Linked DNA regions of Coturnix japonica. The protein of the gene in region 1 binds, or shares a complex with, the protein of each later gene. Links are inferred from orthologs where the notes say so. Each region holds a gene or a part of one and is shown on either strand. Other genes may lie near its edges.

Region 1 (4,046 bases):
ATCTGCTGACACTGGAGTAGAAATAAACGATGTTGACAAAAACATAGAACAGCGTTGCAGAGTAGAGCCAGTCCAGCCAGTCTCGATTGCCACCTTCCTCCTCTTCCCCCATGAGAGGACCCCCCTGGGCGTTCATCCTTAAGTTCTGGTTGGCCACCACGTTGGCTTGAGGAGCAGCATTCTGGTCCCCAGGTTGGTTTTGTGCAGGAAATGGGTCTGGGACAGGAGCTGGGGGTGTCACTGGGATCTCCTGAGAACGCCGTGTGGAGGTCGGGTCAGTAGATGCAGCAGTAGAAGCCAAGCTGCAAAGCAGAGAAATGCTGTGTAAACCTTTTAAAGCTGAGCAGACACTGAGAACTTGGCCACCTCAGTAGTTCAGAACCACCAATCAGATCACATACAACTTAAGAAAAGGCTGAGCTTCACAATGGCCCAAAGCAAGCTCTGGCTCTGCCTGTGGTAACTTCCATGACTTCCAAGTCAAACTACACACCTTCCCATTAGTAATAACTTCACAACAAGTTGCTCTGATCAATCTGAATGTGCTCTGGAAGGCTGCTACAGCTCTTGGCTTTAACTCTGTGACCAGTTTCCCATCTGTGGGTAACTTTAAGCAGTCAAAGAACACTGTAAGGAGCTAACATCACAGCAGAAGTAAATTCCCTGCAGAAAAGCAGAGTACAACAGTGGAGCACTAAATCCTCTGACTGCATCATAAGAAAACTAGCAGTCCTTCATCTTCTGCATTTCCTTCTATTAGTTCCTACCATCCCCTAGCAGCTTCAGGAAGACTTACTATTGCATGTAGTATTGCCTTGCATAGATGTGTTGAAGCCAGGACATCTGAAGCAGGCTGTAGGTTGTGTACAGAGAAAACCCAGGAGGCACCGCTTGGAAACCATGCCGAGGTGTTTCAGGCCTGTGGAAAATTTAAATGACGTGTGTTAAATACCAGAAAAGCCACAAGAGCCATTAATTGCAGGACATCAGATGGCCTCTGCTATTTCCTGCACTGAAACAAGAATTCTCCCCTCAAGTACTAAAAACATCTCTCCCCCAAAGGATAAAAGCAAGATTTGCCATTATAACAGTGTCACATTAACTGGATTTTATACATCCTTAGCACCTCCGGCCTGTTCTGCACTGCACAGGACTTAATGCACATACTAGGCCTGGCATCCAACAGTCTGCCCAAGCAGGCCTATGAGGATCAAGTAATGGACTTACCTGGCACCAGCTTCTGCTGCTGCTGCCTGACCACCAGGAGAGCATCCCAGCCGTCCACCATCTGAAGCAGCAGCAGCTGGTTCTTGATTAGCTTCTGTCGTCAGCTTTGGCTGAGCAGCTTTAACCTGTAGGGAAACCATAACTACCTGAGGGGCTGTTCAGAACACCATGCAAATCTCAAACTATTTCAGCACACAGTTCTTATTTTAGAGAAACTGTTTCACATCTCACAAGGATCCTGCAGGTGCCACAGTACTGTCCCTGCACTTAATCCTGTGCTACAAAGCACCTCCATCTCTATTTTAGAGCCCCTTAATAGTGACTCGTACATACAACACCATATGTGACAGGCATTTCATGGCTTCACCCCCATTCAGGTCCCATCTGGTTACGGAAGAACAACTTGAAAAAGAACTAAGGGATCTGTGCTCGAGACAAACCAACTTATCAACTACCATGACTAGTGCATGCACACCCATCTGCAGTACACAGACATAAATCAAGAGCTGCTCTGGGGCGATACAGCTGCATAGTACTCAGAGGGTGACTCATATCTGGCAACACACATAGGAAAAGCTCAAATTGCTCAGTCCAGACAGCACAAACACCTCTACAAACGTCACTACGTATACTACAAGTGAGTTTGGACAGTGACACTTCAGTAAGTCATGAGAGCAGCCACCTAACTTCCCCTCTGCCAGCTGAGTAACACATCTTCCTTTACATCTCTTCTTCCACACACAGCAATGAGAGCTGCCCCAACTGACTGCATAACCCTCTGTATGGGAGAGCCTTGCTATGACAGGCCTTATATCATTAAGCAGGCCAGGCAGCAGCGCTCCCCCAGGCAGCACACTACAACTACGCTATACCTTTGATACTTCCCAACAGGTGCCATCCAGATCTGTACTGGACAAGGCAGCAGCTGCTTCTGAGCTTAATTTAACTACATTGTCACAGGGTAAACACCAAGAGTATCACAGCATGAACAGGAAACACCTGCAGCACTGAAAGCAGTGCCATAACTCAGTGTAAATACCTCCGTGCTGCTCTCCGGTACATCTACAGGCGCCCTCACGTTGTAGACCAGGTGCAGAGCGTGCAGCTCCTCCTGCTGAGAGACACAGGACACATGAGAGAAGCCCCCCCATATTGGAGCGCTTCAGCACAGGATGGAGCATTGATCCTACCCCGGGCAGGAACTCCTGCAGGAGCTGATGGTCCAGCAGCAGCTTCCCGCAGTAGATCAACTTCTGCTCGTCCTCAGCCTAAAGAAAACACAGAGAAAGGAATGACCCCCACCTCAGAGCACATACAGCCGCTATAGGCCCCATGCAGCTCCTTGCTCCCAAGGTCTCACGGTGCCGCAACCTCCCCCAGGCGTTGCGTCATCCCGCCCCCCCCACCCCGCACTCCTTACGGGCTCCCCGGGTGCCCTGCGGCGCAGCTCGGCCTTCAGGCGCCTCACAGTCCACGCGGGCGCTGCGCGGAGCCGCATGTCGGGGTGTCGCCGCGCGGGGCTGCGCACCAACAGCGACACGCTCAGCTCCTCCGCCATGGCGCGTGTGTGGCGGCCCCCCGCCTCCGCCCTTTATATAGCTTCCTTCCAAGCCCCGCCCACTTCCGCCCCGCCCGACCGCAGAGGCGCGGTGGCTGCATGCGATTGGCTGAGAGGGAGGAGGGGGCGGACACGTGGGCCAATGGGAAGCAGCCTCGCGTGCAGGAACGAGGAGGGGCGGCGGGTGTTCGGCGCCGCTTCGCCATAGTAACCGGGACAGCGCCGGACAGCGGAGCGCAGTGGGAGCAATGAAGGCCGCGGTGCAACACCGGGACCCGGGTTCGAATCCCCCTGTGGCGCAAGTGGTAGAAGTGCCGCTCTGCTACACAGAGCCTCGAATCCCGGGTGCTGGACTCCATGATCTCTAAGGTCCCTTCCAACCCGCACCAGACTGTGATACTGTGATACTGTGATGATATGATACCCTCGGGCCGGGCTCTGAACCGGGCCGCGGTGACATGGCGGTGACATGGCGGTGACATGGCGGTGACATGGCGGTGACATGGCGGTGACATGGCGGTGACATGGCGGTGCTTTGGTGCTGTGTCCAGCTCCACACCCTGCAGCGCGGCTTCCTCGGGCCCAAAGCGGTGACCATGGGGTGGCCGCAGTCTCGGTGCTGCGCAGCTCAGTGCGCTGAGCACAGGGTGCAGCTCAGAGCAGGAACCGAGCCCGGCAATGAGCCCGGTGCATTGGACCCGAGGTGCCGGGCTCCCGGTGCCCTCTGTCCGTGTTACCTGCGTCAGCGCTGACCCCGCTGTCAGCGGGATTATGTGTCTGACCTCATTGCGCTGACCCGTTAACCCCGGGGCAGCACGGCTCTGCTCCCCGTGTGCTGCTGGGCACAGCACCGGGAGCGTCAGGCAGCGCTGGGGGCAGGCTGCCCATGCTCGGCTCTCACAGCCGTATCGTCTGTTTTATTGCCGGTCCCACCGCTGTGTCCGTGACCCCGCACTCCCGGGGTCCCCCCGCTCCCGGTCCCTCCCCCGTTGCTACAGCGACGTTGTCATCGCGCTCCTCCCGCCCCACGGCCCCGCCCCCGAGCCCCGCCTCGACCAATGGCAGCGCGCCGCCAGGCCGGGCCGCGGTGACGTCATGGCCGGTGAAAATCCCCCGTGGCCGCGGGAGCGACGGGGCGGCGCGGGCAGCATGGCCAGACTGCAGCGGGCACCGGGCGGGGCCGGGGGGACCGTCATCGAGGTCAAGAGCAAGGTAAGAGACCGTGACGTGACGGTACCGGTACCGGTACCGGTGCTGATGG
Region 2 (3,619 bases), on another chromosome or scaffold:
AGCTGTGGTGCTACCTGCCTCCATCTTGAATCCCAGTTTCTAGATAGAACAAAAGTTCTAGTTGTATTCATGGTGAAAATCTAAATAGGCAATACCCAACCCAGAATGGCTTTTGTCAGTTCTAACAACTTCAGCTTCTGTCAGCTTAGACAGCCCTTCCTCAGCTCGTAATGCTCAGATCAGCAGTGCTGTTCTTTGCATCTTGGTACATATGTATTTTCTGATGATGCACTTGGAAGTTGGGTTTCTAGGTAAGACAACTGACTGCTTATAGCAGAGTATCTGAAAGTCATTAGCCAAAAAGGGTAAGTGACTTCGTTCTGGAAAGGTGAGTAATGACTCTGGTCCCAGAAAGAAGATAGTGAACAAAGATCAGAAAATACATGCAGCAAGCTCTCTTCATGAACAAAATAGCAGCTCTTGTCGAACTAAACTAACTCACAGTATTAACATTATTAAAGCCCTTTCTCCAAGATACTAACGCCATAAGAACAAAAATCAAAGCTGTGTATAATCATGCAAAATATTAGGCTTTTTTTATTCAGTATTTAAGTTATTCTGAATATACAAACAGTTAGCCAGAAGATAAAGTGAAAACAAGTACTAGTTGTACTTCTATATAGACTTACACCCATAACACATGTTTCAGTTAATAGTTTCTGCATGCTCTTGGAAACTCATTCAGATGTTCTGCTTGATATTATATGCAAGAAATAGACAAGTGCTTTCACTGCAGAGAGAAGCAAATGATGTGTGCTGTTCACAGCTCCAAAATGATGTACATGGCAATTGACTAACACTGTGGTGTAACATGCCCTTTCCAGAGAAAAAGCAGCCACCATTTCACCTCATTATTAGCTTTGACACGTGAAATAAATGACAATACTTAATCATGCAATAAAACCCGTCACATCAATATCCAGATAAAATACTTTGAAGAGGTGAGGGAATACGATCTGTGAAGCAGTCAGAAAGGAAGCGATAAACACCACTTTCTTTCTGTGCATCTGTCACTGTAACTCACTGAACGCACCTTACTCTCCAATACTGCAGTTCCCTTCCCCTCAAGGAGCCAGCAACACAACTCAGGCAACTGCTTGGAAAACATGATTTTCTAGTTAGTTACCTCCAGCACCCAAAGCTTTTCTTTAGAGGTGGATGGAGTATTTCTCAGTATCCGCTTTCCCCACAGGATGACGAACAGAACAGCACCGTTCTGCAGTTATTAACACACAGCCGCTTGTTTTCAAGCTACGGTTAATATCGTTTCTCTCAAAATTCTTTGGCATTTGTGAGAATTCCAATACTTTGAAGGTAGCTGCTGGCACCACACTGGAGCAACCCCATTTCCTTTAGCTTGGGAATCGTTCTGCTTTCATTTGGGCTAAAGATTCGGATGGTCATCTCGGTTTTGGGGTGGGTTTTTGTTCATTTGGGAACGGTATTCAAAAAACAGTCTGGGAGTCTGTCATCTTTTGCTATCATCTGATTCCATTTCTTCTTACCACAATAGTTCCTGCTACGATATCGTAGGCTGTTCTGTTGTGCTGAAAAAACAGCAGCGTAATGAACGCAGGAAAAAATGAAGCGATGGAAAAATTCTTGATCAAGGCTCTTATTGTAGACCTGAAAGGAGAATAAAAGCATTCAGTGCCTTCTTTATTGTCAACTTCCCTGCTTTCCCCAAAGCCAACAACCTCCAGAGTTTAGAGATTATCTTACCACCTAACCTGGAAAATATTCACAACTAATTAACTGTTATATTGAAAGAACCTGAGAATACTTCTTGGCAATCCAATGCCGGCAAAGGCCAACAATAAAGGAAAGGTGCATTTCCTTCCAAACCACATTTTCCATCCCATTAATACAAAAGCAAGGTAAGCTAAGAGCACTTACGTTGTCATACTGACATTAGAAGACGGAATGACTAACACACGGCTGGGTGCAACGAGGACAGACGTATCACACGTCACAACTCGCAGCCCGAGCAAGAACTTCCCTGGGGTTGCTCCTCCTGCTCCCCAAATACAGATGATCTGCGAAAGAAAACTTACTTCAGTTCCACACAGAGCAGTGTTATTGACTAGTATGGCAAACATGGCTTTCTTCAAAAATAAGTGAGGCCCACAGCTTCACAGAACTCCAAGTAAAGAGGGCTTTACTTCATTGGCCACTGATGATACTTTGTTGTTTATCCGAGAACTGATAACTATGAACTACAGCAGTTAAAATGCAGGAGTAGTTACCTCGTAGAAGCAGACTAATAACCTGTAGATGAGAGCCACTATCATCATTTTCTGCAAGTCTTCCATGGATGTATCTTCATCTATTTCCTCTATTATGTAATGCATAGCAAATTTAGAGATGTCTCTGTTGAAAATAAGACAACTTTAAAAAACAACCCACAAAGCAAAAAACCAAACACGACACAACATCCAGAACTCATTTGTCCCTCCTAGTGCTGGAATTCTCTTCAGCTTCTGTGACATTGAGCCACCCAATACAATTCCTAACACTGGGAGGTGTTCAAGACCAGGTTGGACGGGGCCCTGGGCAACCTGATGTAGTAAATGTGTATGTTTGGTGGCCCTGCCAGGCAGGGGGGTTGGAACTACATGATCCTTGAGGTCCCTTCCAACCCGGGTCATTCTGTGATTCTGTGATCTGTGATTCTGTGAGGTTTCCTTCCAAGTTGCTGTTCAGTTTTTCGTTATGAAAAAATGCATTGTGAGCACATTTGCAACATGACAGTCTATGGAGTGAGCTGCAGAATCGTTAGGAACATTCTCATTCTTGAGAGATGCACAAGGGATTCCACAATCATCTACTTACACACATGGATACAACTATCTTCATTACAGGGTGAGGGAGATGGGAACTCAATGCATTGCTCTCTTATAACTGCAAAGCAGTTTGCAAGTCACCAGACAAGCAAAGGAGACTTTACCCCCTTTGCATGAGCAGGGTTTGCCTTCTCAGCAGTTCCAAAATGCTTTCAACCAAACAGTTGAAACTCTCAGCCATCTCCCCTAACAAAGCAATGCAAAGCTGCAGCTCAGAATCAGCTGTGTATCTTCACAAGTCAAACCACAGATGTGACATCTGATAAGTGGAATGGGCGCACTTGCAACGTGTACTTAGGAGATGACTTTTCCGTGAGCCATCTCAGTTATAATTTCTATTTAAATAGAAAGGTGTGGGCCTCGTGAAAACAAGCCACGCACGCACCACTCGCTCTCCTCTCTGTTCAGGATCAAAAAAGATAGGAATTGAGAGAATGGTAGTACAGCACAATCTGCTCTTCCCTTTAGTACAAAGCTGGCCTGAAGTCTTTGTCTTCAGTGAGGATGTGCCTTACGTGACAGCTCAGCCTGGCCTCCAGCACACAGCTCACCAGGGGGAAAAAAATAGTTTCTGAAGCTACTCGTAAGCAACTTTGTGGCTCTTGCAAGAGCAGCAATATCGAATATACTGTACAGTAACTCAAAAAGATTCTCTTTCAATCACCATTTTTGCAGAAGTGATACACATAAAGCTGTTCTCCAGCTTTCCCGTATCTTCTGTATCATTTTTGGCCTACAAAACTGAGGTAGAAATACAAGCTGCCAGGTTAAGTTGG
Region 3 (4,233 bases), on another chromosome or scaffold:
TAAAAATATGAAGCAAAAGCTGAAGAGGCTTTGCCTTATTGAGGCAATACAAAGAAGCCTGAAGCACAGAGTGGGAAATTTTTTCAACCTCTAAGATCACCCAGTCTAACCTTCCACCTATCACCAACATCTCCCACTAAACCATGTCCCAGAGCACACATCTAAATGCTTCTTAAACACCCCCAGGGATGGTGACTCTACCACCTCCCTGGGCAGTGACTGATCACCCTCTCAGAGAGTAAATTTTTCCTAATATTCAACCTGAATTTCCCCTGGTGCAACTTGAGGCCATTCCCTTTTGTTCCATCACCAGGCACACAAGAGAACAGGCTGACACCCATGTTCCTTTGGGTAGTTCTAGAGAGTGATAAAGTCCCCCCCTGAGCCTCCTCCAGAGGAAACAATCCCAGTTCCCTCAGCCACTCCCCATGTGTGCTTCAGAGCCCTCACAGCTTTGCTGCCCTCCTCCAAACACTCTTCAGGCCTCGGTGTCTTTCTTAGCAGGGAAGAGACAAAAACTGAACGCAGTACTCGAGGTGCAGCCTCACCAGAGCTGAGTACAGAGGGATGATCACTTCCCTGCTCCTGCTGGCAACACTATTTCTGATGCAAGCCAGGATGCCATTGGACTTCTTGGCCACCTGGGCACACTGCTGGCTCGTGTTCAGCCAAGCATCAACCAATACACCCAGATCTGTTTTCCTCTACAAAGTCTTCCCCAGTCACTCTGCCCCAAGTCTGTAGCATCACCCGGGGTTGACCAAGATAGTTGAAGAAACAGTATTTACTTGAAATTTCTTTTTGGTATTTAATATCTTCTGCTCATAATTTCATAGGAAGATTTAGTGTGGCTTCTGAAAAAGCAAATCTTTACCAGACTTTCCCAGACTTTCACCAGCCATATGCTATAGACCACGCTTGATCTGGGGAAGCAACACCGACCCACTGTATGAGTCATTTATTTTTCCTGAAAGAGGTTCGTTTTGCAATACAACAGCACAGGTGGCAAAAAATCAAGTAAGTAAAGAGAATTTTCACTTGAAAATAAGAGAAGCTGGTAACAACAGAGCGGACAAATGCTTCTAAATGAAACCACAAATATTTGCCACGATCCCAAGGTACATCACCACCACTGCTTTCAGTGACGTGGCAAACCTGAACTGGTGAGTGTATTTGCCTGCCCTTGAAGCTCACATGTGCGGCATATCAGAGACTTAAAAAGCAACCCCCCCCAAAATCTGCCTTCCTGGTATTTTATAATAGAATAAGCACATCATTTGCTTTGTGCTTCTCATTATTCAGTTATGTAAGTTGGGCGTGAGGAGCAATGAGAGAAAAGAAAACATAATTTAGCAATAAACACGAGGCATGCTTTGTGAACAAGCCTGTCATTTGCATTTGCAAAGCACAAGTCATCTCGATGCTAAGTTTCTCCCCACCTCCCATGCTGGCAATAGAACAGTATTCATCAACAGCAACAGGAAGCTGATAACACCTGCTGCCCAAAGGTGGGCTGGGGCAACAGGGCAGGGCAACTGACACAGAAAGGCTCCCAGCCCTCACAATCCCCAAAGCTCTGCTTAAGAAGCCACAGAGGCACACAGCCACGGACAGGTCACTGCCCCAGTGTGGCCCTGCAGGAGGGAGCCCACCTGGCCTCGGGGCCCTTGCTGGAAAAGGAGCCCCCTCTGCCCTTTCTGTGCTGTTTCTCAGGACATAGAATCACAGAATGACCCGAGTTGGAAGGGACCTCAAGGATCATGTAGTTCCAACCCACCTGCCTGGCAGGGCCACCAAACATACACCTTTACTAGATCAGGTTGCCCAGGGCCCCGTCCAACCTGGCCTTGAACACCTCCAAGGACGGGGCATCCGCAACCTTCCTGGGCAGCCTGTTCCAGGACCTAACCACTTTCCTAGTGAAGAACTTCCCCCTAACATCCAACCTAAATCTTCCCTCTTTCAACTTAAATCCACTTCCCCTTGTCCTGCTATTATCAGCCCCAGACTCCTTCCTACTGTGTTGTATCGTGACTCACCTGAGCACACTCCTCGCTTAAGGACTCAAAATACTGCCTAGTGCTGTCAACACATGAATTGTATTGCAGAACCCCTCAAACACACGTATACACACACATGTAGGTGCAGCACATAAAAACACTACAACAGCTTAGGAAAAAGCTTCAATGCACAGGCTCGGCCAACGTCAGTGCCTGACCCTCCCCTCGCGCAGGCCCGAGGAGCCAACGAACAGCTGGTAGCACGGGCACAGCCACGTTCGCACAGCAGCAGGCAGCAGTTCCAACGTACTAACCACGACAAGCATAAAAAGGCGTGGACACACACACACGGCAGCGCCCCGAGATACTCGTGCTCCACTCCAGGAGGCATCCAACGCCTCCAAGCACCGCGGGCCGACCAGCCCTGCACAGCCGGCATCAGCAGCACGGCCCCAACCCGCCCGCTCTCCTCCCTCCCACGGCGGCCTTCGTCCCCCTGTGGAGCCGAGGCCGGGCCGCAGCTCTGCCCTTTGTCGAGCGAGCTCTCGGCCTCCCCAGTCCGGCCCGGCCCCGAGCCCGCCCGCCGAGCCCGCGGCCCGAAGGCGGCCTGCCGCGTCCTACCCGGGCTCTTGAGATTGTAGCGGGCCTCCATGACAGCCGGCACGCTCTTCCTCCACAGCGTCTCCGGTAGCGGGGGCCGGGGGAAAACGAGCAGGAAGAAGGCACGGCACGGCCCGGCCCGCCTCGGGAAACTCCCCTGACGTGGCGGAGGGAGGCACCGGCCGGACAGGCACCGCCCCCAGAGCCGCCCCGCGAGCGGGGACGGGCTGAGCGGCTCTTGGCTGCGCGAGGCCTGAGCCGAAGGTCACAGAATTACAGAATCACGGAATTATCAAGGTTGGAAAAGACCTAGAAGATCATCTAGTCCAACCATTACCAATACTTCCCAGCTAAATCATATTCATCAACACCACATCCATACGTTTCTTGAACACTCCCATGGTCGGTGACTCCACCACCTCCCTGGGCAGTGCATCCCAATGCCTGACTACCCTTTCAGGTCGGTGTGGCCACCCACCATTCCCAGTGTACGTGGATGGCAGTGATGTCATACTGAACACACTAGGCCTGGGGATGGACTGCTCTCTGCTCCCTCTTTCTGCTCTCAGATTCCCTTTTGCCGGAGCCACCTTGCTATGCAATGGGAGAAGGGCTCTGGGATCTGACTAAATCTTGTCCTGCCCTGAAGGAGCACAGTAGCATTTCACAGTCAGAACTATAGAATTCTGTGTTAAAAAGAAACACATCTGGGATATACTTTGATAGAAGGTATCTCAACAGTATGATCATTGGAATAATGGCAGTAAGTTGAGAAGAGTGAGATTTATTATGAACCGGAGCAGTACAGAGTTCAGCATTCTCTTCTGGGCTCTGGTTTTGAAGCTGGTGCATTTACATTTTATACAACTCAAAGAGGAAGCACCTGTAACTGACATGAAACTGGGGTTTTTAACTAAATATATATCACAGAATTGTAGGGGCTGGAAGGGACCTCTAGAGATCATCGAGTCCAACCCCCCTGCCAAAGCAGGCTCCACCATGTCACACAGGTAGGCATCCAGATGGGTCTTGAATATCTCCAGGAGAAGGAGACTCCACCACCTCCCTGGGCAGCCTGTTCCAGTGCTCCGTCACCCTCACCGTAAAGAGCTTTTGCTGCACATTCGTGCAGAACTTCCTATGCTGTACTTTCATCCCATTACCCCTAGTCCTGTCCCCACGCACTACTGAAAAGAGACCAGCCTCACCACTATGGCTCCCACACCTCAGGTACTTATAAACCTGGATCAAGTCCCCTCTCAGCCTTCTTTTCTCAAGGCTAAACAGACCCAGTTCACTTAGTCTCTCCTCATAGGGAAGATGCTCCAGGCCATAGCAGCTAAACACTACTGAAAATAAGCTGAATAGACATAAATGCTAAGAAACAGAAATCCACTGAAGGGACGTAATGTTTTCTCTATTTAATTCAGCTATGTCGTGGCCTGTATTGGTGCTGGATAACCACAAGCAATTGCGCAGAGCTAGCAGTAAGTGACTGCTTTTATTTTCAGACTCATTGCCTGACTGACAGTTGAGGCTACAGACAACGAACGCTGCCAGGTGACTCAGCTGTGAAACCACCGATGCCTGCGAGGCAGTGTTGTAATGTGTGCACGGACAGAAATCTGGGGCT

The links.
Region 2: HERPUD1 (region 1) and FAM8A1 share a complex: the UniProt entries of both Homo sapiens proteins name them as parts of the HRD1 complex. The link is inferred for Coturnix japonica from reciprocal best matches to the Homo sapiens genes HERPUD1 and FAM8A1.
Region 3: HERPUD1 (region 1) and UBE2J1 share a complex: the UniProt entries of both Homo sapiens proteins name them as parts of the HRD1 complex. The link is inferred for Coturnix japonica from reciprocal best matches to the Homo sapiens genes HERPUD1 and UBE2J1.

What each region holds. Positions count from the first base shown.
Region 1 is NC_029526.1:1,860,808-1,864,853, forward strand, and holds the start of HERPUD1 (homocysteine-responsive endoplasmic reticulum-resident ubiquitin-like domain member 1 protein), read right to left. Parts: upstream 2,821-4,046; 5' UTR 2,786-2,820; coding exon 2,648-2,785; intron 2,496-2,647; coding exon 2,418-2,495; intron 2,342-2,417; coding exon 2,267-2,341; intron 1,353-2,266; coding exon 1,228-1,352; intron 920-1,227; coding exon 797-919; intron 303-796; coding exon 1-302. Other genes in the region: partitioning defective 6 homolog alpha-like, read left to right, coding at 3,881-3,997. UniProt on the Homo sapiens protein: Component of the endoplasmic reticulum quality control (ERQC) system also called ER-associated degradation (ERAD) involved in ubiquitin-dependent degradation of misfolded endoplasmic reticulum proteins.
Region 2 is NC_029517.1:66,993,121-66,996,739, forward strand, and holds the end of FAM8A1 (protein FAM8A1), read right to left. Parts: intron 2,371-3,619; coding exon 2,247-2,370; intron 2,037-2,246; coding exon 1,897-2,036; intron 1,627-1,896; coding exon 1,482-1,626; 3' UTR 510-1,481; downstream 1-509. UniProt on the Homo sapiens protein: Plays a role in the assembly of the HRD1 complex, a complex involved in the ubiquitin-proteasome-dependent process of ER-associated degradation (ERAD).
Region 3 is NC_029518.1:68,946,942-68,951,174, reverse strand, and holds the start of UBE2J1 (ubiquitin-conjugating enzyme E2 J1), read right to left. Parts: upstream 2,806-4,233; 5' UTR 2,653-2,805; coding exon 2,622-2,652; intron 2,254-2,621; exon of another isoform or gene 2,040-2,253; intron 1-2,039. UniProt on the Homo sapiens protein: Catalyzes the covalent attachment of ubiquitin to other proteins. Functions in the selective degradation of misfolded membrane proteins from the endoplasmic reticulum (ERAD) and is essential for cells to recover from ER stress.